Linked DNA regions of Drosophila melanogaster. The protein of the gene in region 4 interacts with the protein of the main gene of each other region in a pairwise test. Each region holds a gene or a part of one and is shown on either strand. Other genes may lie near its edges.

Region 1 (7,849 bases), 7.4 Mb from region 4:
AGAAACAACTAATTGAATGAGTGATGCATTGTATTTGAGAAGCCTTAAAGCTTAAAGCTTTAGGTTAACAAGAAACTGATTTGGGTTTGGTTTATAAGTAGTAAGTAAACTTACTTGAATGAATTTTAGTTAGAACCTTATATACCATTTAAACGTATGGTATGATATGTAATACTTAAAGATATTGAATGTTAAGAGAGTGCTTTTTATTAAGTCCTGACCATTTCCTGGAAGTCCAACATTGATGCTAACGCCTTGTGGGTATGCAACATAATAATGCGGTCCTTATTGTTATATTTTTTTATGGTGATTAATGCAAATAGGATTTGTTCCGTACGGTTTTTTTTCGCTTTAAGAACTTTTCTCGGACACTTGTGTGGATAAATTGAAGAACAAATGTGGCCAAATATGTATGTGTGCTTTTGTATCCTTATGTGGGACATTCCGGCGTCTAGCAAATACATACATATACTGTGTGGGAGTGTGGGTGAGAATTATTTTAATTCGGCAATGAAAAGGACAATGAAACGACAAGGAGCTGTGTATATGTGTGTAGGTGCTGCTATCACATAAGGCACTTACATACCGAAGCTGTGCAATTTACATAAGTTATACATGCATACATATGTACATACATATATAGTGGTGGTGGGGGCGGTCATGGTGATAGGATCGTTGAGGGACTGCGGTAGGGGTGTGGGGTGGAAAGAGGAAGCAGCAGCGTCGCTTCTTTGTCACCAGTGCTCGAATTCCATTGGTGCTGTGTGGCGACAGGGAAAAAAAATCGAAGCGAATCGCCCCCATTGCCAAAGTGTCACCCATACACAGATACACCTATACAGCGACATTCGCACCCACACACACACCCATACAGATGCACAGCGCAATCGCAAAACAAAGAGAGCCGCTCAACGCGGCCATTCGTGCGGGTGCGATAGGGACGGCGAGAGGGCACAGCACCGAGTGGACAAGACATCAAATGACAAAAATTTCAAAAGAACCTTCGTGAAGAGAAGCAGAGAGGAGAAGCCCAAGACAAAAAGTGACGTCGCAGCAGCGACAAATTACGTACTGTGTACTGTATACTGTGGCCATTGCCATTTCACTCTCGTTGCTCTCTCCCTCTTGCGCTCTTGTGCTCCGGCTCCCTCTCTCTCGCTCTGTCACACTATAGTGCCCGGCCATGTACTCACACCATCGAACCCAAGGCACCCATACCAGCAAGCGGCGAGAGCGAGCGCTGCGTTCTCTTTGGCTGGCGGCAGTGCGTGTGAATGTGTGTGCCGCACTGACCACACACACACACGTCGCATGTCGCATGTGTCAACCCAACGAAACGGTTTCGTCCACTCAGACGACAGTGTGCGAGCGGGCGCGAGATAGCCGCACGAGCGTGCCAAGCCGCTCGCACGCACGGGACGGCGCTCTTTCGCGGCGTGAGTAAGAGAGTGGTGGCTACTCTTGCCTCGCACTGCTTTGCCGACTGGGCGAGCGGGATGGACTCAAGTGCGGGCGGATCTCTCGCTCGCACTCGGGCGAGTGCCTAATGACCCATCGACGACAATGTGACGAAGGCCAATTCCAATAGCGCGCTCTCTCACACTCTTCCAGGTGCAAGAGCGAAAGAGTGAAAGAGAGAGGGCGCAAGAGCGAGCGGGAGAGCGAGCGAGAGAGAGCCAAATGTCACCCACCCCGCGTGTGCGTGTGTGTTTGTGTCAGTCAGTCGGTGTGTCGGTGTCGGTGTCGCCGCATTTGTCGCTCGCTCTCTGCCCGCTGCGCTGCCGGCGTCGCAGTCGCCGCACAAATTCGTTGGTGAAACGACAAATCGACAATCAGTGTCACCCACGACATTCGAAGAAGTGGATCTCTGCTGTCCCTGCTCTCCGCACATCCGCATCTTCGTCGCTACTTCGTTTGCCACTCCGCATATTCACATATTCGCATCCGCATATTCGCGTCCAGTCCACTCTTCTCTCTGCCGCGCGACCCAGTGCATAAGTGTGCGTGCATACGAGCGTGTGTGTGTGTGTGTGTGTGTCATCGTCAACTGTGAACGACCAACTTTTTTAATATCTCAGCAAAATGCAACAAAAATAAATGCACCACGGGCATGAAAACAACAACAGCACACAGCTCCAACAGTGAATTCTACCATCTGAATTTATCAACTTTTTACGCAACAAAATATCAAAACAAAACAAAGCGAAAGAAACCCTTTTTTTAAATCTCAAACCTGTGACAAAGTGAGAAAATCTAAAACAAAAAAAAAAAACAGCAATAAACCAAAATACAATAAAATATCTACAACTCGCTGCTAAATTAGCAAAAGGTATGTATAGTTCGAGTAAAGTTGATTTGCCGTCGGCACTTCAAGCAAAGAATTCAAATTCAAGTGAAGTCATAGTGAATATTTTTCGAGATCAGAGGAGTATTTTCTAAAAAGAAATCCTGGTGCCATAAAAATATTACCCATTCAAGAATTGTGTTATGAAATAGGAACGCAACAATAGGATTCTTTTCGTGGTAAATAATGATCTTGTTAGGATCACATAGGCTGCTAGTGGCATTAATATGGTATTACCATTTTCATGGGATCTCTGGTGATGTGCTGCCATCTTTTACCTCTAGTCTATGGATTTTCTTATAATATCCTGACTTTGCTAAATTGAAAACAGCTTGTTAATCCAATGTTCGTAAACCCATTTTTGTCTATTTGCTGCGTGAGCTTCGACGACAAAAAAGTGATGTCTTCGGGGGAAACGCCAAATGTCAAAGTTGTAATTAAGATTTTTGTCTGCGGTTTTCGAGCTCTGTTTTTCTCGTTGATGTCCGGACCATCGGCGTTGTCATCTTTGGACCATCGCATGCCCCTTGCATGCCCCTTGTGCCCATCGACTCCTGCTTATTATAATGTACTACTATTAACAGCAACTACAACAGCAATTATAGCCGCCGGATTGCTCACATCTCGGCATCTTCCATCCCCAACTGCCACACACCGTACTCCACAGATCTTGGATCTACCATCTACCATCTAAAGCGTCTCCCAACTCTCGGAATTCTTCAATCTTGTCGTTTCTTGTCTTGGGTACTTTCAACATTTTGCTGCCTTTGCCACTGCCGATAATCAAAAAACGTTTCGTCCGAGAGCCATCAAAAGTTGTGATTGGTTTTTCCCCTACCCCCAGCTGCCCAACATCACCCCCCCTTTCACCATCGGTGGCTTAAGACATTTTAAGCGTTTGACAAAAATAATTACCCATGTACATGCATACTCACCTCGATCTGTCGACCGCGTGCACTGAGAGAAAATAGAGAGGTTGTTATTGTTTTCCGTTGCGCCTTATTGTGCTATGCAAGATTGTTATGATGCTTAGATCTTGAATTGTTTTATATTGAAATGTTAAAAGATCTATATTTTTTTTTGAGTTGAATCTCTTTTTTAAAAGATTCTTGGAAGATAAAAAGGTATAGGCACCTTCAACTCATATGATATAGTTAACTTATAATGATCTAGAAAATTATTGCAACATCTTTGGGTCATTCTCTATTTCTTGAATGGTAACAATATTTTCGGCACCTAGTCAGAAACTGATTACTTCCAAGTACCTGACAATTAAGTTTTTTTTCCCCCCTTTTTGCTCTTCTTTTTTTTTTCTTGCGCTTTCGCATTTTCGCCGTGTGTACATACACTCATTTTAATGCTATTGTTGTCATCGTTACTAATGAGCCCCATAAAAAGCGACCATCTCCTGGCTTCCTGCAACTGTGTGCGTGTTACCTGTATGCCTGTATGTGTGAGCCATAGTCGTATGTGGTTTTCGGCTTAACTTTTTAGCTGGCATTGGGCAAGCGAATGCGAATGTGTGTTCGACTTTTGAGATCGAATCCAGATAGCCAGCCACGACATCGCACACACGATCATCACCATCGTCATCCGCATCTCACCGCAATTGTCCCCAGTTTTGTGACGCCCCTGGGTTCGGTTCACTTCTTTTTTTTTTTTTTTACCCCTGATTTGTTTCTGTTTTTAACGTCAAGTCGACTGCTCACAATTACGGTAGCGAACGGAGTCCACAATAAAAAAAATGAGCTAGCTCTGGCTTTAGCTTTGCTTTTGGTTTTGGTTTTGGCTTTAACTCCGACCGATCGGATCCAAAGTCGAAGTCCGACACTGATCGCCGCATGTTGTCGTCGCCGTCGACGTTGTCAGAGGCGATTTTAATGGCCAGAAGAACCGAAAAAGCTGTAAAAGATTTCGCTCGAGTAAATGAGGCAATGTGCACTTACACAAGTAATGCGCCAGTGTTAGTGTACAGTGGGCCTTGGCTACGACAGAAATTGGGTGCATAGGAACCAAAATGATAAAGATTAAACAAATGATGTAGCGTCAGTCACTGGGATACCCCTTTTGATTATTTCAAAATACAAAACATGGCAACTCTAGTTGTTCTACTGTACTATCGGCTCGACATGAAAGATATGCCGCCATCGGTGTCGCCGATATAAATGTTCGCTTGTCTGAGTTATTGTAAGCAGTGTGTGTCTTACCAATAAATCTAGCTGGATTTGCACAAAGTTGGCTAAGCTCCTTGGAAGCTTTCACTTGGGAATTTCGGTAATACACTTGAGATATGACTTTAGAGCGCTTTCCAATGCTATAGATTAGTGCTTTTGGCGTGGCAATGCAGTCATATGTACATATACATTCGCCTCAGATATTAATCTATATCTTAAGGATATCGAATATTAATTAATGAAAAAGCCATTTGAACAGCAATGGGGTTTTTTTTTTTTTGAAGCACACAGCTGGCAGCCTTAAAGACTTTCTTTTAAATCTGGATTTCAGAATGTATCTTACAGCAATGACCAACTAATCGCTGTAATCCACTGATTAATTGAGACCCCCCCCCAAAATAAAGTTTTCTCCCCTTGACTTATTCGACCGTCTTGACTTTTCGCACTCTAATTGCGCATCAATGACCACTGCCCAATGTCCCAGGTCCAGGAGTCAATGTCCATGTCCCCGGCACCACAGACCATTCAACAATTTGCCCTGCTGACTCTCGGCGATAAGGTTGATTCCAGTTTCCCAGTTGTAGTTGCGCAATCGGATTTGCCCCGCAACCCTGGCAATAGTTTTCGATTAGGACTGACCGATTCACTGACTTCCTGATTGACACTCCCTGATTGACACTCCTAACGATTCGTTTCTGTTTCTTGTTTGTTTTCCAGGCACCACCAGTCATCGCCATCGCCATCGCCAGCGCGACCATAGAAACAAAATCCACCACAGACGACATGGAGCACATAATGAATCCGTTCATGTCACCGGCTTATCTGCTGGGCCATGGCCCACATTCCCACCAGCATGTGCACTCCCATCTACCGTCACACCCGCAGCCAAATGCCGCCTCTCCGGCCAGCTCACCCGGCGGATCCAGTGGCTCTGGATCGGGATCGGCAGCGGGATCGGGCACTGGATCAGGTTCATCCTTAAAGCCTCGTCGCTGGGGCTCACCGCCCATCAATCTGGCCGGTCAGTTTATCAATCCAGCCACGGGAAAGAAACGAGTACAGTGCTCCATTTGCTTCAAGACCTTCTGCGACAAGGGCGCCCTTAAGATTCACTTTTCGGCCGTGCATCTTCGCGAGATGCACAAGTGCACGGTGGAGGGCTGCAATATGGTGTTCAGTTCGAGGCGTTCGAGGAATCGCCATAGCGCCAATCCGAATCCCAAACTCCATTCGCCACACATCCGGCGCAAGATCTCGCCGCACGATGGCCGCACTGCCCAGCAGTTTCCGGTTTTCTCGCCCGGAACAGCCGCAGCAGCGGCCGCTGTCGCCGGACGACTTCCGGTTGCCTTTCCCGGACTTCTGCCACCGCCGCCGCCGCATCATGGTCACCATCCGTACGTCATGTTCGGCGGACAGGCGGGTCTACATGGCTTGGGCCTGCTTTCCACCGGCTGTCAGGATCCCGATTCTGGATCGGTGGACAATGAACAGGATGCTGATCCCGAAGATGACAACGACTTTGTGTACGTGGACATGCAGGCCAATAGCTCTAGTCCGGCGGCCTCCAGCGAGGATCAGGAGGAACACGAACGGGATAATGAGCAGGATGAGGAGATGCACTGCAGCTTGAGCCTGGCCAGCAGTAGTAGCATTGCCGCCGATGAGGAGCGGGCAGCTGACCAGCCATTGGATTTCAGCCTTCACAAGCGTCGCAAGTCGGAGCAGGATCGGGAACAGGAGCAGGAGCAGGAGCAGGAACGGGAGCGGGAGGCGGAAAAGGAGCAGGAACAGGATGTGGAATCCGACAAGGAGCACGAACCCGAACAGGAGCATGAGCTGGAGCGTGAGAAGCGCTCGCCCAGCGATGCCTTCTCCATGGATCAGTTGCTGGGCAAGCGTAAGCGTCACGACAGCACCGCCTCCAGCTCCGCCTGTTCCACGGCAGCCGCCTCCTCCGCCTCTAGTTCCTCCGCCAGCGCTAGCGCCAATCCACCACAGACGAGCATCAAAATGGATCTGGACCCGGATAGCGACAGTGCCTACATGACCAGCCGGCGGCAAATGCTCCCACTGCCCGTTCTGGACCTCGAGGAGCATCATCATCTGCGCCTGCTGCAGACCCAGATGTTTGCCGCCGCAGCGGCTGCCGCTGCCACCAGCCAGGCACCGCCCACCGCCTTCCTGCCGGCGGGATCACCCGTGGATCTGGCCAAGGACTCGCCGCCCATGTGGAGTCTCCTCTCCGAAATGTACCGCTCCATGCTGCTGAAGACACAGCACCAGCAATACAACCACCATCACCAGCTGCAGCAGCAACACCAGCAGGAGCAGCATCATCATCTGACCCTGAGCCACCACCATCAGGAGCAGCACCATCATCTGGGTCATCACCACATGGGTCACCACCACCATCATCACCATCAGCACCACCAACAGCAGCCGCAACAGCAATCGCCGGCGGCCACGAATGCGCCGATTTCCGTCTAATGTCCAGACTGCTGATCCATGGCGATGATTTCTAGATGATTTCCTTAGTCAAATTTGTTTTTATATTTTTTTTTTGTGTGTGAATCGTATTTTAAGAAGAATACATTTGGTGGCGTGCTGCATTACACAAAAAGGTGGAGCTTCAGGTGGTGGGGCTGTGCCACAGCTTGACCATTAAATGGCTGGCACTCCTCCTCAGGCGCGACCCCGCAACACCCGCAACCAATGCCACTAAGTACCCCACCCCCCCCTCTGAAAACTGGAATTGCTCCGAAACTAAGCTTTTTCTGCTCGTACATGTGTTATATGGATTTTTTTTTTTTTTGGAAACCTATGTATAATGTATAATGTATACTGTAGTGCGACATCTAAGTGTATAGTATTCAATCCGTTCCTCAGTGTGAATGTGCAGATGCATGAATGAGAGTGTGTGTGTGTGTGTGTGTGGGATCCCAGGATCGGATCCAAAAAAAAAAAAAAATTAAAGTCTGTCATCTGAAAAGCGGGCTGGGCAGTGCAGAAGCGGGGATTTTGGAACGGGTTCCGTTTCCCTGCCCCCTCTATCGGTGTACAACGAAGTATTGATATTTATAACGAAATATATATTATGAATGGCATATATTAAATAGTTTTAAGACAATTTTTTTCGTAGCCAATAAAACTATATTGTATTGTATAACTTGGATGTACTAACACAGCAAGCAAATTCTATTGAAACATATCCCCCCCGTGTGTTAAAAAAATAAAAAACCAGAAGAGATTCAATTCAACCAATCCCTAAAGAAAAAAAATAAACCCAAAAAAAAAAAAACAAAATTATAAAAATCCATCGCAAAGGTTG
Region 2 (3,688 bases), on a different chromosome or scaffold from region 4:
ACCGTGCTGGAGTTTGTCAAGCGTGAGGACACCACAACTGAAACAGAAGCTGGAGATCAGACGACCCGTGAAGTGCTCTTCAAGCTGCTGCTGGAACCGCGCAGCCTGCTCATCCTCAAGGACACGCTGTACACCGACTATCTGCACGCCATCTCCGAGACTAGCGAGGATGTGCTCTGCGATCGCATCTCCAACTACGATCTGTGCGAGAATACCTACAAGATCGGGGATCACTTAGTACGCCGATCGCCGCGCATCTCCCTCACCATCCGTAATGTGCCCAAGACCAGCAAGATGAAGCTCAAGTTCTGCTAGGTTCATTCCGCCATTCGATGTTCTTTGGCATTAAAGATTACAGATTACACAGATGTTGACTAGCTGCACGTTAAACGAACCCACTGAAGAGATCCCTGGGATCCAAAAAGAACTATGATAATCTGCAACCTGAATCTTCCGCTAGATGTTAAAGCACTCCGCACTAGCAGCACACTTGTTCGCAAGCAAATCCATGTTGGCCCACACAAAAGTGCTTTATTTATACCGCTAGCATTGTGTACATATATATAAATGTTTGTATTACGTATTACGGAGCAATAAGTTGTCCTGATCGGCGGACAGGCTCGAGCTGTATCCTCAGATTCCACCTGACCGCCGGCGGCCTTTAGATTTAGTTGTGCGAGCAGTTGTTGCAGGAATCCATGGCCTAGATTTGTGAAATATGTGGTTAACTTTGTATATGGGCATGTGCGACAACTGATTTTGATTATGATTGTCCTAATGCTTTGTACAATAGAATCTACACAGAATTTATGTAAAATCTTTCTGATTGAAAATGTTCCTTACGTTAACTACTAAGCAAATCAATTGCAGCCAAAGAAATCATAATGATGATCAGTTGACGAGATACCCCTTATATGTATGTTGAATGGAGCAGCCAGCACACTGGTTACCATAGTCGTGTGCTCCATGCTCCGGCCTCCTGTGTCCAAGTGTATTTTTGTAACCGTTTTTTCCACCGCGCACCGCAAAAAAGAGCGAAGAATTGCCAATAAACGTTATTGTCCACCTAACTCATCCTTTAAACCATTTAATCCACTAGGCCTCCTCATCCAGCCACTCCAGCCGGAACTCGCGCTCAAAGACCAGGCGATCGTACAGCCGCACCTCGCTAATCCTCGCCGAGATGTCCAGCCGCAGTTCGCTGACCGCCAGGTGGAAATTCTGACGCACCGTTCGCTGTTTGTCCGGTGTCAATTGATTGAGAGGTTTGCGAAAGATGCTGATGATGCGCTGCAGATGGTATTCCACGCTGGCACAGCGACCGATGCAAACCCACAAGTTCTCCGGATCGTGAATGTTACCCGGGAAGCGGGTGCGTTGATCGAAGGGCGCCTTGCCGGACAGCAGAGCTCTCACCTCGGCCACGATCTCCTGGTGCGTCCTCAGATCGCGTGTGCTGAGGGTGGTGAACTCATACTTGTCGCAAAAGTACATGAGCTCGGAGATGGCCACCCACGACTGGGAGCAGAGTGTGGCATGGTGATTCGACCAGTTGGTGTAGCCAGCTGGACTGGAGGTCTTGGTAGCCACGGCAGCGGTTGACGAGGAACTTGCATTGGGAGTCGGTGAAGTGCTCGTTGGACTGCCTGTCTTGGGCTTGGGCGTATCCGAACCATTTATGATGGACCTTCTTTCTGTGCGCTGCAGCTGCTCCATTTCCCGCTCGTGCTCCTTGGCCCTTAAATAGGCCTCCTTCTTCTGCTGCAACTCCTGAAGCTTGGTCATCTTTGGTGGCGACAACGACTTTGTGAAGATCGAGGGCGGTGGCGGCGCAGGAGCAGCCTGGTCGCCGTCTGTGTGTGCAATTGGTGTGCCGTTTGTGTCCAGCGATGCACTGCGTCCGTACTTGGCCCTATAGCGCTCCAGCGTGTCCAGCGAGAAGCTGAGCTCCTTCTTGATGGCCTTCTGCATGGTTCTGGTTTTCTGGCTTTATGTAATCACCTTGGGTGCTTCGATGCTCCGAATTGCACGCGTTCCCTTCGAGAATTTACAGGCGAATGCGAGCGCACATTCCGCATAAAGAGAGGCCGATCTCTTTATTTTTATCTTTTATCAATCGGCGGCGAGCCATGTGCACTTTATTTCGGTCTCTGCCAATACATTTTGATCGCATTCGCATACGAATGCGTACGGATTTTACGTTTGGATTTAAAGCAGCATTTGAAAAAGATTCACAGATGCAGAAACTCACAGATATTCAAATGCCGAACGCACATTTTGGGGGAATTCATGACGAAATGACCGAAATTTTGAATGGGTTCAATTCAGATCAAGGTTGGGATAGGGAACTTATGCACATTATGCTTATGTTTGGTAAGTTAACTTCTCTTTAACTTATTGATATAAAAAAATAGTCATTAACCAGCTTTCTCAAGTACAAAGTTTACATCTTTTATTTCATATATTATTTCAATAATATTTGCAAATGGCACACATATGTTTGTGATCTTTCGCTTTAAGTACAAACATTTTACTGATCGTTACAAATGGTTTCTTGTGTGCTGTGAATCATATTTGAAGAAATGCACAAAGTACATTTAATACTTTTCGTTCTTTTCGTCGGCCAGCTCAACCGGCGGAGGTGGTATTCCTCTCACATGGATGTTAAATAAATATCGCCTTAACGCATACGCATAATAGAAAAATGTACAAAATTACAATCATGTCGTCACACACAGAACAGATAAACAGATAGGACTAACTATAGAATGACGTATTAAAAACTACAAAGCGGGTGTTTGGCGGAAGGCACGGTATACACAGAGTCGTCATGTCCTTGGTGGGACACATGGGTCACAAGTAGAAAAGAGGGTGATGAGCCCAGTCTTAAAACTAGGTTCCATAATTTACAATACAGTTGGGCGGAGTTGATTCCGCCTAAACGCAGTACGCCGCCGGCACCTCGAAAATGATGTTGCCCTCTTTAGGACGGAAGTTGGGGACCTCCACATTGGACGCCGCCTCCACGGTAATAATGCGTGCCTTGCCGTCTAGGCGACAGGAAATATTGGTGGTCACATTCACACGCAACTCGGTTCCAGTGAGGCTGGAAAGGATTTGATATTAATATCTGGTGAACATACTAAATGGGCGTTCCACTTACTCATGGTATTTCTTGCACACAATGCCCACCACTTCGCCAATGCGATCTTCCTTGAGGGGCGTGTACTCGCTCTCCAGGGAAAACACTAAATCCTTGTTTTTCGACGAGTGGAAGACGATTAGTTGATCCCGGCCGGGTGAGACACTAATGGACGTCAACTGTAAGCGAAGTCAAGATACGGAATTAATATTATAATATAATAATATAATATATTATTATACTATCTACTAACCTCCCTAATTTTAATGGTGCGTTTCATGTCCTTAAATTTATTCTTGATACCGTCCAGTTTGTGGATGGTCGAATCGGAAACGATGAAGGCGCGATTAGCCTGCTTGTTGAAATGGTTGAACTTCTTGACGAATGAGGAGAAGAGCACTTGCTGGAAGGTCTCGCCGTCGGCGGGGTGGTTCCTTATGTTCTTTATGCTTCCGTTGTAGGCTTCATATCCGCTGTTCTCCTGCGAGTTGGCCAGATAATCACCCACCCAGCGGCGCGCTTGACCCCAATAGGGTCGTCTTCCGG
Region 3 (4,864 bases), on a different chromosome or scaffold from region 4:
ACCTTTCAACGGGTCTCGAGTGCGCCTCGATCCCTGCCCGATCCTGGCCAGAAACTCCCGCCACAAGCGCTTTAGAACAGAGTCCTAGACGAGTGTGGTGCACGGTAGGGTCGGTGGCCCGTGCCACATCTAAGGCGCCCCTTTTTTCGGATTACCCTGCTCGGCTTTAGCTTCGATTGCTTGCTCACACGTCGCCCGTTCGACTTAATAACCCGAATAGATTTGATTCGCCCTAAAAACTACAATTTTGACTGTTTTAAAACGAATTCTTTGTGATATTTTTCGGATTTGTTAATGTTGTCTACTGAGTCAGTGAAAGCGTTATCGACACGTTCAGACTGAATGACGGGCAGGGCGACTCTGCACGACAAGTCGGGGTGGGTGAGAATGAGGTGGCACAAAATTTGTAATTGCATTTATATGGTGAGTAATACATACTAAACGAAATAATAGTATTTTGATTTATGTTGTTATATTTAGCCCATAAAATAGTAAGTTAGGTCTTACAAACAGCGCTACCAGATCCAGTCAAAATTGAGGAAGCCTGAACGTCTATAGGCCTCCCAAAATGGCGTTGCCATGAAAAATGACAGCTGTTCGCTGCGAATGGCTATTTATGTTTGTTTTGACTCGGCTTTCGAATATATCGCAAAATATATACAGGAAACATTTATATTCACAAAAATCTGTACGATGCACCCAGGGCAAATTGAGGTCAACGAGATCAATGGCTATTGGACATTTCTGCTGAGCGTAAGATACTCGCCTATATACAATCAAAAATCAAGAATCCGGCAAGTTGTCACTATTTTTGCAGATCGATTGGAAGGATCCCTGGCTTATTGGCCTTATTTTGGCGCATATCTTAACCACCACCACTGCGCTGCTCAGCCGGAACAGCTCCAACTTCCAGGTTTTCCTCTTCCTAGTACTGTGTACGTGGACTTGGCGGCTTCCTTGACTTACCCGATAAATGACTCTGATTTTTGCATGTGCTTCATCTTCCTCAGTGCTGGCAGTCTACTTCACCGAAAGCATCAATGAGTTCGCTGCTAACAACTGGAGTTCCTTTTCCAGACAACAATACTTCGATAGCAACGGCCTGTTTATCTCGACAGTTTTCTCAATACCTATTTTGCTTAATTGCATGCTTTTGATTGTAAGTTATAGTGTTTCCACTGCATGAAGTGTGTATTTATCTTTGCTTATTTGCAGGGCACTTGGCTCTACAACTCCACGCAGCTGATGGTGACTCTAAAAACAGCGCAGCTCAAGGAGCGAGCTCGCAAGGAACGCCAGACTAAGGCGGATTCGGAATCCATAGCACATAAAAAGGCAGAGTAGAACTTACGCCTGTATTACATGCAGTTAAAAGCACAAGTAGAGCTGTGAAATTATATGTTATGCTTTAAATGGATTTTCCTGTCATCTAGATGTAGTTTGCTGCACAGCTCTCGTCTTTAAAATAAATTTAATTTAGTATAATCAAACTTATAGAATTTGTAAATTTAGGCTATTTTTACATCCTGTTTTACTTAGCGAAGTTACAAACCTAACATGCCCTTCATATTAAGCAAAAAATCACACCAGTTACCGTTGCCACCTTGGTAAAGCAGTTTTTACTGCCACCTAAAATTTTCTATATATATCACGTAATATGAACTATTTTGATATTTTTGACGAAATTAACATTATAGATCCAATCAGCTTATTGCCTGTATCAATTTCTGATCTGTGTGCCAAGACTGTAATTTCAAATTAGAAGCTCGTTGGACCTGTGTCATTTTTTAGTACGAATTCAATTGGGAGCCCTTCGTCGTCTGGTAACACTGTCCAACGATTTTGTTGTTGCTGGCTTGTGGGTGTCGAAGCAGTGTCGCGGCGCAATGTTGGAAGTGGTTTTTGGGTAAACAAAATCCGTTGATAAGATATTCGCACGGAGCTAATCGCAAATCGCGCTGCGTATTTACCGTTGGCAAGCCAGAAAAAAGTTTTGCATAGCATTGCGGTTTAAAGCCAGGCTCAAAATTCCTGCGAGCTCGCTTGTGTGTGTGCGTTTTTGCCGTCGGTGTGTATGTGTTTTGAGCCCATAAGCGTAGCCCGAAAAAAAGAAGTTTTTCTGTTACCATATTTTTTACCAAAGGCCAAAAGGGCGCAGCATCTTCGCTCTCTATCTCGGCGCTGCATCTTGCTCTCTCGTTCGCTAACGCGAGTTTGGCAACTCCGTTTACCGTTCATCGTTTATTGTGTGTAAACAGCAGGTGAAAATAAAACGCGATAAGTGCAGAGAAACAGGAGAAGGAGGAGAAAGAGCAGCAAGAAGAAGCAGCAACTCCGCGCAGCCCAACAAAAAGTGACGTATTAAAAAAGGTTGCTAATTACAAAAGGTAAACAACAAATAATGTGCGGATTATATTACCAAATTCCCGGGCATAAACAATACCAATAAAATGTTGCTAAGATTGCCCTTCCACCCCCCTCACTTACCCACTGAAATGCGTAGTAGATTTCCGCGATAGGAAAACTCGGATGAGTGACGCGTTGGCGACGCAGCGCACAGTGTTCATTCATAAAAAGTGTCTGCCCCCCTGCGCCCACTCCCAAAACACTCCCCCCTCCCCTCCACACTTTGAACCAAGCCTGTTTGTGGTTGCGCCTGGAATTTAGTTTACAACTAAATATGTTTGCGGGCAGCTAGGAGGAAAGTTCGGATTTGGTTGTTTTTGCTATGTGGGAAACCATAGTTAAACTATTTGCATTCCGTTGGAAAGTCTAGTGGTTCACGCCACGCCCCATGTTCGCTCGTTCACGAAATTATGAAATTGTGTAAATTATATTAAAAAGCTTAACGGGTATATTGATATCTCCTCTATAATACTTCATACAAGATAAGTTTAAGGAACTGAAATGTTTGAAGTTTTAATGAATTTCCTTAACTATTGCGTCTGGTTGACATCCAAGTTCGCATAGTTGAAAAATTCCATATCAAACTGAGCCGCATGCCTTAATAACTAGACCTTTTGCTCATTGAGATTAGATCACATACCGCCATATGGCAGTCGGTGAAATGATTAGCTCAGCGAATAATTAAGCGTCGTGCGAATGAAAAGTCACACACACACACACTGCAACTTGGTGTTTAGATTAGAGCATTTTGTATCTTAGCCCACCTTTGGCAATCGGTGATATCGAATAGCAGGAAAAACAATAATACGGAATTTATGGTCAGCGTGTCGCCAAAATGCCAAAGTCAAGCGAAATAAATACATAGAAATAATGAAAGAAAAAAAACAATCAAAATAACTCGGTGACATCATTTTGACTAATCGCCAATTTTAGCATTTGAAAAACGGCGGCTGCTCGCCCGGCCCACCAACAAGCGCGCGAAGGTGCGAAGGAGAGAGTCCACCAGGGAGGGGGCTGCGAGCGAGTGCGGGAGTGGGAGCGAGAATGAGAGGGGGAACACTCGTGGCAGGTGCGCCAAGCCGAAGTTCAAAACGAAGCTCAAACCCGAATGCCAAGCGGCATTCCGAACCACCTACAAGTCGGCAAGTAAAATGGATCGAATGCTCTTGCGATATCAGCGAGTTTCACTTTCGAGCCCCTCATCTATACACGAATACTATCTGCAATCGGAACAATCACTAGATAATCCCACGATCCAACATTAAGCGCATTGCTTTTATCACAGGTATTAAATCAAAGCCATGCATTTGGAAAAGTGCGCTTGCCATTTGCCAAATTTAAGTGGCTTTAATTGGCTGGTTTTTACGACTCATTGGCATTATGACGATCTTTAAATTTTACGATTAAATGCATAAATCAGGTGTTGAAGTGTAGTGCAAGTGGTTGCTACATATACCCCTACATAAATAGAATCACTCCAGAAAAATATGGCATTCAAGTTGAGTTAACTACTGGCTTGTATTGTAAGCTAAGAAATTGTTAAGTGGTAGCTATTCTCAAAAGCTTGCGCACAGGGGTGCCTTTCTTTAACTCATTATTATATCCATTTATATCCATTACGATCAAATATTCGTTATATATGGAAAATTGCCTAGCCTACCGTGACTCTATTGCCTGCCTGTTGATATTTCCCCCGCGGCAACTTCGATCCGATGCAATTAACTCGAACATATTGTGGCTCATTACGAGGGGCATTCCAATCTGAAGACGAAGCGACTCGATCTAGTTCACAGATACAGAGCTGCATACACGCATCCCACTGGTTATTTCGGTTAATTTTGATGTGTGCTGCTAAGAGCCGAGAGTGCAGAGGACTAGGCACCACTGCTCCACATCCCCAGATATTTCCGACACTACGTGCGCTGCGATGCGACGTGTCGACCGGGTGGGTGGAAATTTGGAAATGTTGTGAAAAGCTAAATGAGGCGTGACACGAAAAAGAAGGCAGAGGGGAAAAAAGAGCAAAGCGACAAACACGCAGAGCAGCATGGAAAAAAAAAGAAAAAAACAAACAAACAAACAGAGCTGAGTGCGGCCACCCACAACATGACAGCCGCCACAACAATGGCCATAGTAGCGTCGAGGAGCAGAACGAGAACGTGGTGCCCACCAAATCTAGCCACGGAGTAATTTCGGCCTAGAAAACAAAGAAAACGAAGAAAACTGCCCAGTTGTCTGCGGAAAAGACAAAGGAAGAATGGAAAACCAAGAGAGCGGAATGAAAAAGGGGGACCAATTCCGCACAAGGCGCACAATTAACCCTTTCTTTGAAGTCAGCGGCGAATGTATCCACTGTCCACTTTCCACTGGGCTTTAATTAGTTTATGGAACAAGCGTCCCGGCTCGGCTAACTGCAATAAAATTAATCGTTTATGCTGTAATCGCATTTAGCGGCGCC
Region 4 (4,958 bases):
GCTGCATGTTGCTGCCGTGTTCGCTAGCAGCAACATAAAAATTGAAAAGATGCTGCCACCAAGATATATGCGAAGAAAAATGAGCAGTCGACCAGAGAAATGGCCGATGATATTGGTAATTGAACGACGAGGGGTTACCCTATTCTATTGAAGTTTTGAAAACTAAATTCCTTAAGAATAAACACATTACCAAAGATTCAACGACCTAAATTGGTATCCTATCTTAAGTATTTCCAATACATTTTTTCCATCTCATTTCAAAACCTTAACTATACCATAAAAAATTGGATATCTTTCCTGATTCCAAATTACTTTACGAACTTTCGAAAAAAGATACAGCTACTGCGCGGAAAAGTTATCTTCATTAAGCCGAGTTATATTCAGTGGTACTTTACTTTGTAGTTTTCCCCAACTAAATGCAAGTTAAGTTCATAACTGCCAACACTTAGTCATTAGCTAATGGGTATGTCTATGAGCGAGAAATAAAACAAAAACAAAAAAATCCAACCGAGAAACAGTAGAAGCAGGAAGAAGAAAGCTTGGCAGCTTTACGACTCCACTTGGCATCAGTCCGCCGTCGTAAGGTGGCCCACTGTGCGGGTCTACGGCTTCCTGAACATCCATTTTCCAGTCAAATGTCGACAGCTTTTGACTTGAACCGCCCCCGGAGCTGCAGGCCCCAAGCCCAAAAACCCCAACAGTTCTCTAGCCAATTTATGGGGGAAGTAAGGTGTCGGCCGCTGTATGTCCAATGTCAACAAGTTAAATGGAGAATTTGCAGTTGCAATTTCCATCGAACCTCACTGGTTCGAAAACGAAGCTATTGAGGATTTTAGAATATTTTTGAAAAATTTTTTGTGGTATAAAATACCTTACTACATTTTTACTAATATGTACTTAAATCATTTCTCATTTCATTTCTTTTGATAAGAATCCAAAATATACTCGAAAAGAGTGTTCGGTCTCTAAATCTCTGCAGATCCTTAATTTTGTAGTTTATAAATGTTTTTTATAGTTATTCAAATTGATGGGGAGCTACATACATACATATAAACGAAATATTCCTCACCAACTAATCACAAAATACAAAACTAGAGGGGAGCCTTCATTTCTGAACTTTTTGCTCCCTTTTTACTATTTTTTTTTTTTTTTTTTTTTTTTGTTCCTGACATTAAACAGTCAGCAAAAGTGAAAATTTGACAGAGAGCAAATGAAATAAAACAAAAGCCAAAAAAAATGAGATGGGGTAGAGGAAGAACGGCAGAAGAAGAAGCTGAAAAACTTTGACAACTGCGCAAAAGTTTTTCAGTCCAAAAACGAACGGGAAAACAAGAGGAGGAAAAACAAAACCGAAACAAAAACAGATGAACAAGAACTTCAAAAGCATACAAAATGGTAATGCGAAAAAGAGACGGCAGATGGACGACGGGGCATTAGACGCCCCTCTCCTCCTCGCCGGCGGTCCCCTAAAAACGGGAAGCAAGTTCAAAAGTGCAAAAACTTTGCTGCTGCCCAGCCGTCGCCATTAAAAACTCCTTGGCCATCTTAACCCATTGCGGGCAAGCGGTATTGTATTAACCCACCATCCTAGGGATCGCATTTCGCCGATCCTTCAAGGGGTTGACTTCCTTTTAAGGACTTTCGACCGCACTCGACCCTACTTTTCTTATGTCTTTCTACCACCAGTTGAAAATCTAAGACCACATCCCGTCGGCATAGCGATCAAGCCATTTTTAATAGATTCCACTTTTTTGTCAGTACATTTTTCGAAAATTCACTTCTTTGCCATCTTTTAAAAGTATTTTTGAAATGTGTCATTGGTGTCATTGATCACTCGTCTACAGATTTTATAAACAATTTAAATATTATACGAAGCCTACAAACAGGTGTTTTCATTCTATTTCGATAGAGGACATCATGAATATTACTTAATCTAGATTAGATGTAAACAACTTCTATTTTCGATCTGTAAAATGTTTCATCCTTGACTTCCCAATGATATTATTCTATAGAACTACAAGCACAACTCAAAGATTTAGTGCTGATTCTTGGATGAAATGATTTCGATTGCAGTATCCTATATGTGACTAACCTTAAGAACTTGCCTGTTTGGGATTCTCACTGCAAACCCCCCAGATTTTCTATGTTTTCCTGGACCCTTAACCGCTTAATGCCTAAATTCCCCAAAACGATCACTTACCGATATTGTGCTGGCTGGTGTGTAGTACCGCCCCGAACGCCATCAGATGGTCCTTGGGCGGGGGGGCGCGGCTACCGAGGGCGGCGAACCCGTCGCCCAGATATGACGCCAGTGCGACGGCCCTCAGGGGCGCTTTTGAGGCCTCGGTGAGAATTTTGTTGTCGAATATCTTGATGCCGGGGGGATGGAGTTTTTCTTTTTTTCGGGGGGGTTAAGAGTGACTGCTTTTTTGGGGGGGCCGTCAATGGGTTAAGTCCCGCGTGTGTGTGCGTATGTGAACGAGGCGCGCGTGGGTGTGGATATATGTGTGTGTGTGCGGGTGCGGAAGCGAGAGAGAGAGGGAGAGAAAGATAGGAGCGGGCCCCAACTGCACACTTAACGGTTAACGCACATAAAGACTGGGTGGCAAGGTGCGAGCAAGAGGGGGATAGCACGTGTGTGCCGGCGGCAAATTTGGCAAAACAAAAACAAAGCGCGAAATTCCGCTCCTCTTTGAGTTGAAGAAACTTCCTCCGCTTCTATTATGCCTTATATTCCAGTATTTCTTTAGTTGTTGTATATGAAATTGATTCTTTTCTTTTTAAACACTTTGCACTATCGGCTTTTCGGCGATTCCTTGGTTTTGTTGTATTTATGTGTTGTATATTCTTCTTGTTGTTCAAGATTCTCACTTGCAAAAAAATTTGAACAACGGCAAAAATTCTCGGTTTTCGATCTCGCGGCGGAACGGTAAACAGCTGACTAACGGTAAACGGCTGCGTTGGCTCCTTTTTCGAGCGTTGCCTCGTGCGCTTTGCGTTTTGCGGGCGCTTCACGCGAACGTCAAACAAAAACTGAAAACGGAAAACGGCAAACGCGACGGCAAAGCGGACGGCCCGATTACCGATAGCTGCCAGCCGAGCGCACACGCACACACACGAACGGCGAGCCGAAGCGGCGACGAATGGCGCGCCTGGGTGCGAGCGAGATGCTAGCAGGCGCATCGCTCGCACTCGTGCTACCGAATGCGGCAAGCAGTGCTCGCATATTTCGCCTGCGCCAGAGCGAGATGCAGCGAATGTTGAGCTGGGGCTGCTGCGACGCCGACTGCGCTGCTGGCGGCGCTGCAATGGAGTCGCAGGCTCTCTCGCTCTCGCTTCCGTCGCTTCTCCTGGCTCTCTCGTGTTGGGCATGAAGAAATCATATTATTCTTAAATAAAAAAATTGTTTTTCAAAACGTTTTCTAAAAAAATGGAAAAAATATGACTAGAATATTTGGTATGCATATCTAGATTATTATTAAAAATATTTTGGAAAAGGATATACAATTTCATAACAATTGGAAAAAAATATCAAGAAATCTTAATTTTTTTTCCTTTTTTAGGATTTAATTTAGGTGATTGTTCGATAATACACAATATAAGTTCTTTGAAAATTTTGATATATTTAGCATGATAACTAAATATTTAGTTAGCCTTACTAGATGCTTGTTAGATTCATAAGATTTTAAAAATCCAAAAATTCACTTTTTTTTTAAATTCTACACACATTCTTCTGTTGATCTTGGGCTTTTGATCCTTTTCTCAAGATTGGTGCTGGCGTTGTTCCTGTAAGGATATTTTTGGTTTTTGTTGCTGTTGTTGCCCTTCCATTTTGCCCATTGTTGTTGCAACACTGGCTCTCCTGCTCTCCAGCTCTCTTTTTTGCGGTTAGAGGGGGCGTTGCTAAGCAACTGGTTTTTTTATTGTTGCTTCATTGAGAGATGCGCAAAATGGCGCTCTCTCGCTCTCACGCTCTCCGGCCGTCGCGCCCTCTCGCTCACACTCGCTGGCCGGGCCAATGGCATTTTTCAAAGTGACATTTGCCCGCGTTTTGTCCCTTTCGCACTTGGCGGTGCTTGTGTGCGTGCCAAGGTAAAATGTCAAATGCTTTTCGACTGTCAACTGTTGGTCGCAAAAACTTTTTTCTTTCCTTCTTTTTTATTTTTAGTTGTTGTTTTTGTTCGGCTGCCTCTTCTGCAACTTGTGTTTGTCACTTGTCGTTAGCAGTGCGAAAGGGAGAGCACTAGTGGCGGGGGGTGGTGGGGGCGTTAGCTGGAGAGGGACGCCCCTTTGGCGTTTTAACGCACTGGAGACAGCAAGAAAAAAAAACGGAGGCGAAGAAAAAAAAGCAAAGAAAAAGTGTTAGATAAATTGCAAGTAACAAAAAATTAGTAGAAAAAAACATTTAAAATTGTGCAAAATATTATATCTTTTTCTTTTTCTTTAACAAATGCAATTTTAATAAGCTTTCGATTTAGATAAATCTATAGCAAGACACTTATCGTAAAAATAAACCAATACAAAAACCAATAAAAACCATAAGAAATAATATAGGATTCAAATTGCAAAAATGCCAAAGATCTAAACAAACAACAAGAAAAGACAAAACTGGATAAAATAAAAAAAATGCATAAAATAAGTGAGAGTAAAAGAGAACGCATTATAAAGGTCGGGGAGGAGGCTCCCGCTCTCATTCACTCCTTACGGTCTTCCCTCTCACTCACACTTCGATAGGAAGAAGAAGATGTTCGACACAAAATAAGGGGGCTGTGGTGGGTTAAAGAGCGCCGTTTGCTGTGTGCGTGGATGTGGGGTAGTCAAAAATATTGCACATTAGGGTGTTAAGCTGTGAAGTGCTTGCTTTTTGTTTTTGCGTGTGCGTGTCACTTTTCACTTGTTCTGCGCTATCGAAAAGTTATCGAAATCAGTTGATCTTTGACGGCCTTGAAAACTGCTTT

What was found.
Region 1: the proteins of Lim1 (region 4) and disco interact in a two-hybrid assay, tested with the Drosophila melanogaster proteins (one large-scale study listed by BioGRID).
Region 2: the proteins of Lim1 (region 4) and CG13144 interact in a two-hybrid assay, tested with the Drosophila melanogaster proteins (one large-scale study listed by BioGRID).
Region 3: the proteins of Lim1 (region 4) and Dyb interact in a two-hybrid assay, tested with the Drosophila melanogaster proteins (one large-scale study listed by BioGRID).

Annotation. Positions count from the first base shown.
Region 1 is NC_004354.4:16,210,731-16,218,579, reverse strand, and holds the start of disco (disconnected), read left to right. Parts: upstream 1-1,829; 5' UTR 1,830-2,329; intron 2,330-5,235; 5' UTR 5,236-5,301; coding exon 5,302-7,008; 3' UTR 7,009-7,849. UniProt on the Drosophila melanogaster protein: Required for the establishment of stable connections between the larval optic nerves, the Bolwig's nerves, and their target cells in the brain during embryonic development.
Region 2 is NT_033779.5:10,489,394-10,493,081, forward strand, and holds CG13144 (uncharacterized protein), read right to left. Parts: upstream 2,062-3,688; 5' UTR 1,972-2,061; coding exon 1,096-1,971; 3' UTR 507-1,095; downstream 1-506. Other genes in the region: CG6144 (uncharacterized protein), read left to right, coding at 1-315; Myo31DF (myosin 31DF), read right to left, coding at 2,938-3,106, 3,164-3,321, 3,396-3,688.
Region 3 is NT_033778.4:12,435,504-12,440,367, forward strand, and holds the start of Dyb (dystrobrevin), read left to right. Parts: upstream 1-1,841; 5' UTR 1,842-1,886; coding exon of another isoform or gene 1,887-1,906; 5' UTR 1,907-2,387; intron 2,388-4,864. Other genes in the region: Tmem18 (transmembrane protein 18), read left to right, coding at 694-753, 818-935, 1,011-1,159, 1,216-1,344.
Region 4 is NC_004354.4:8,802,764-8,807,721, forward strand, and holds the start of Lim1 (LIM homeobox 1), read right to left. Parts: upstream 3,042-4,958; 5' UTR 2,244-3,041; coding exon 2,201-2,243; intron 1-2,200.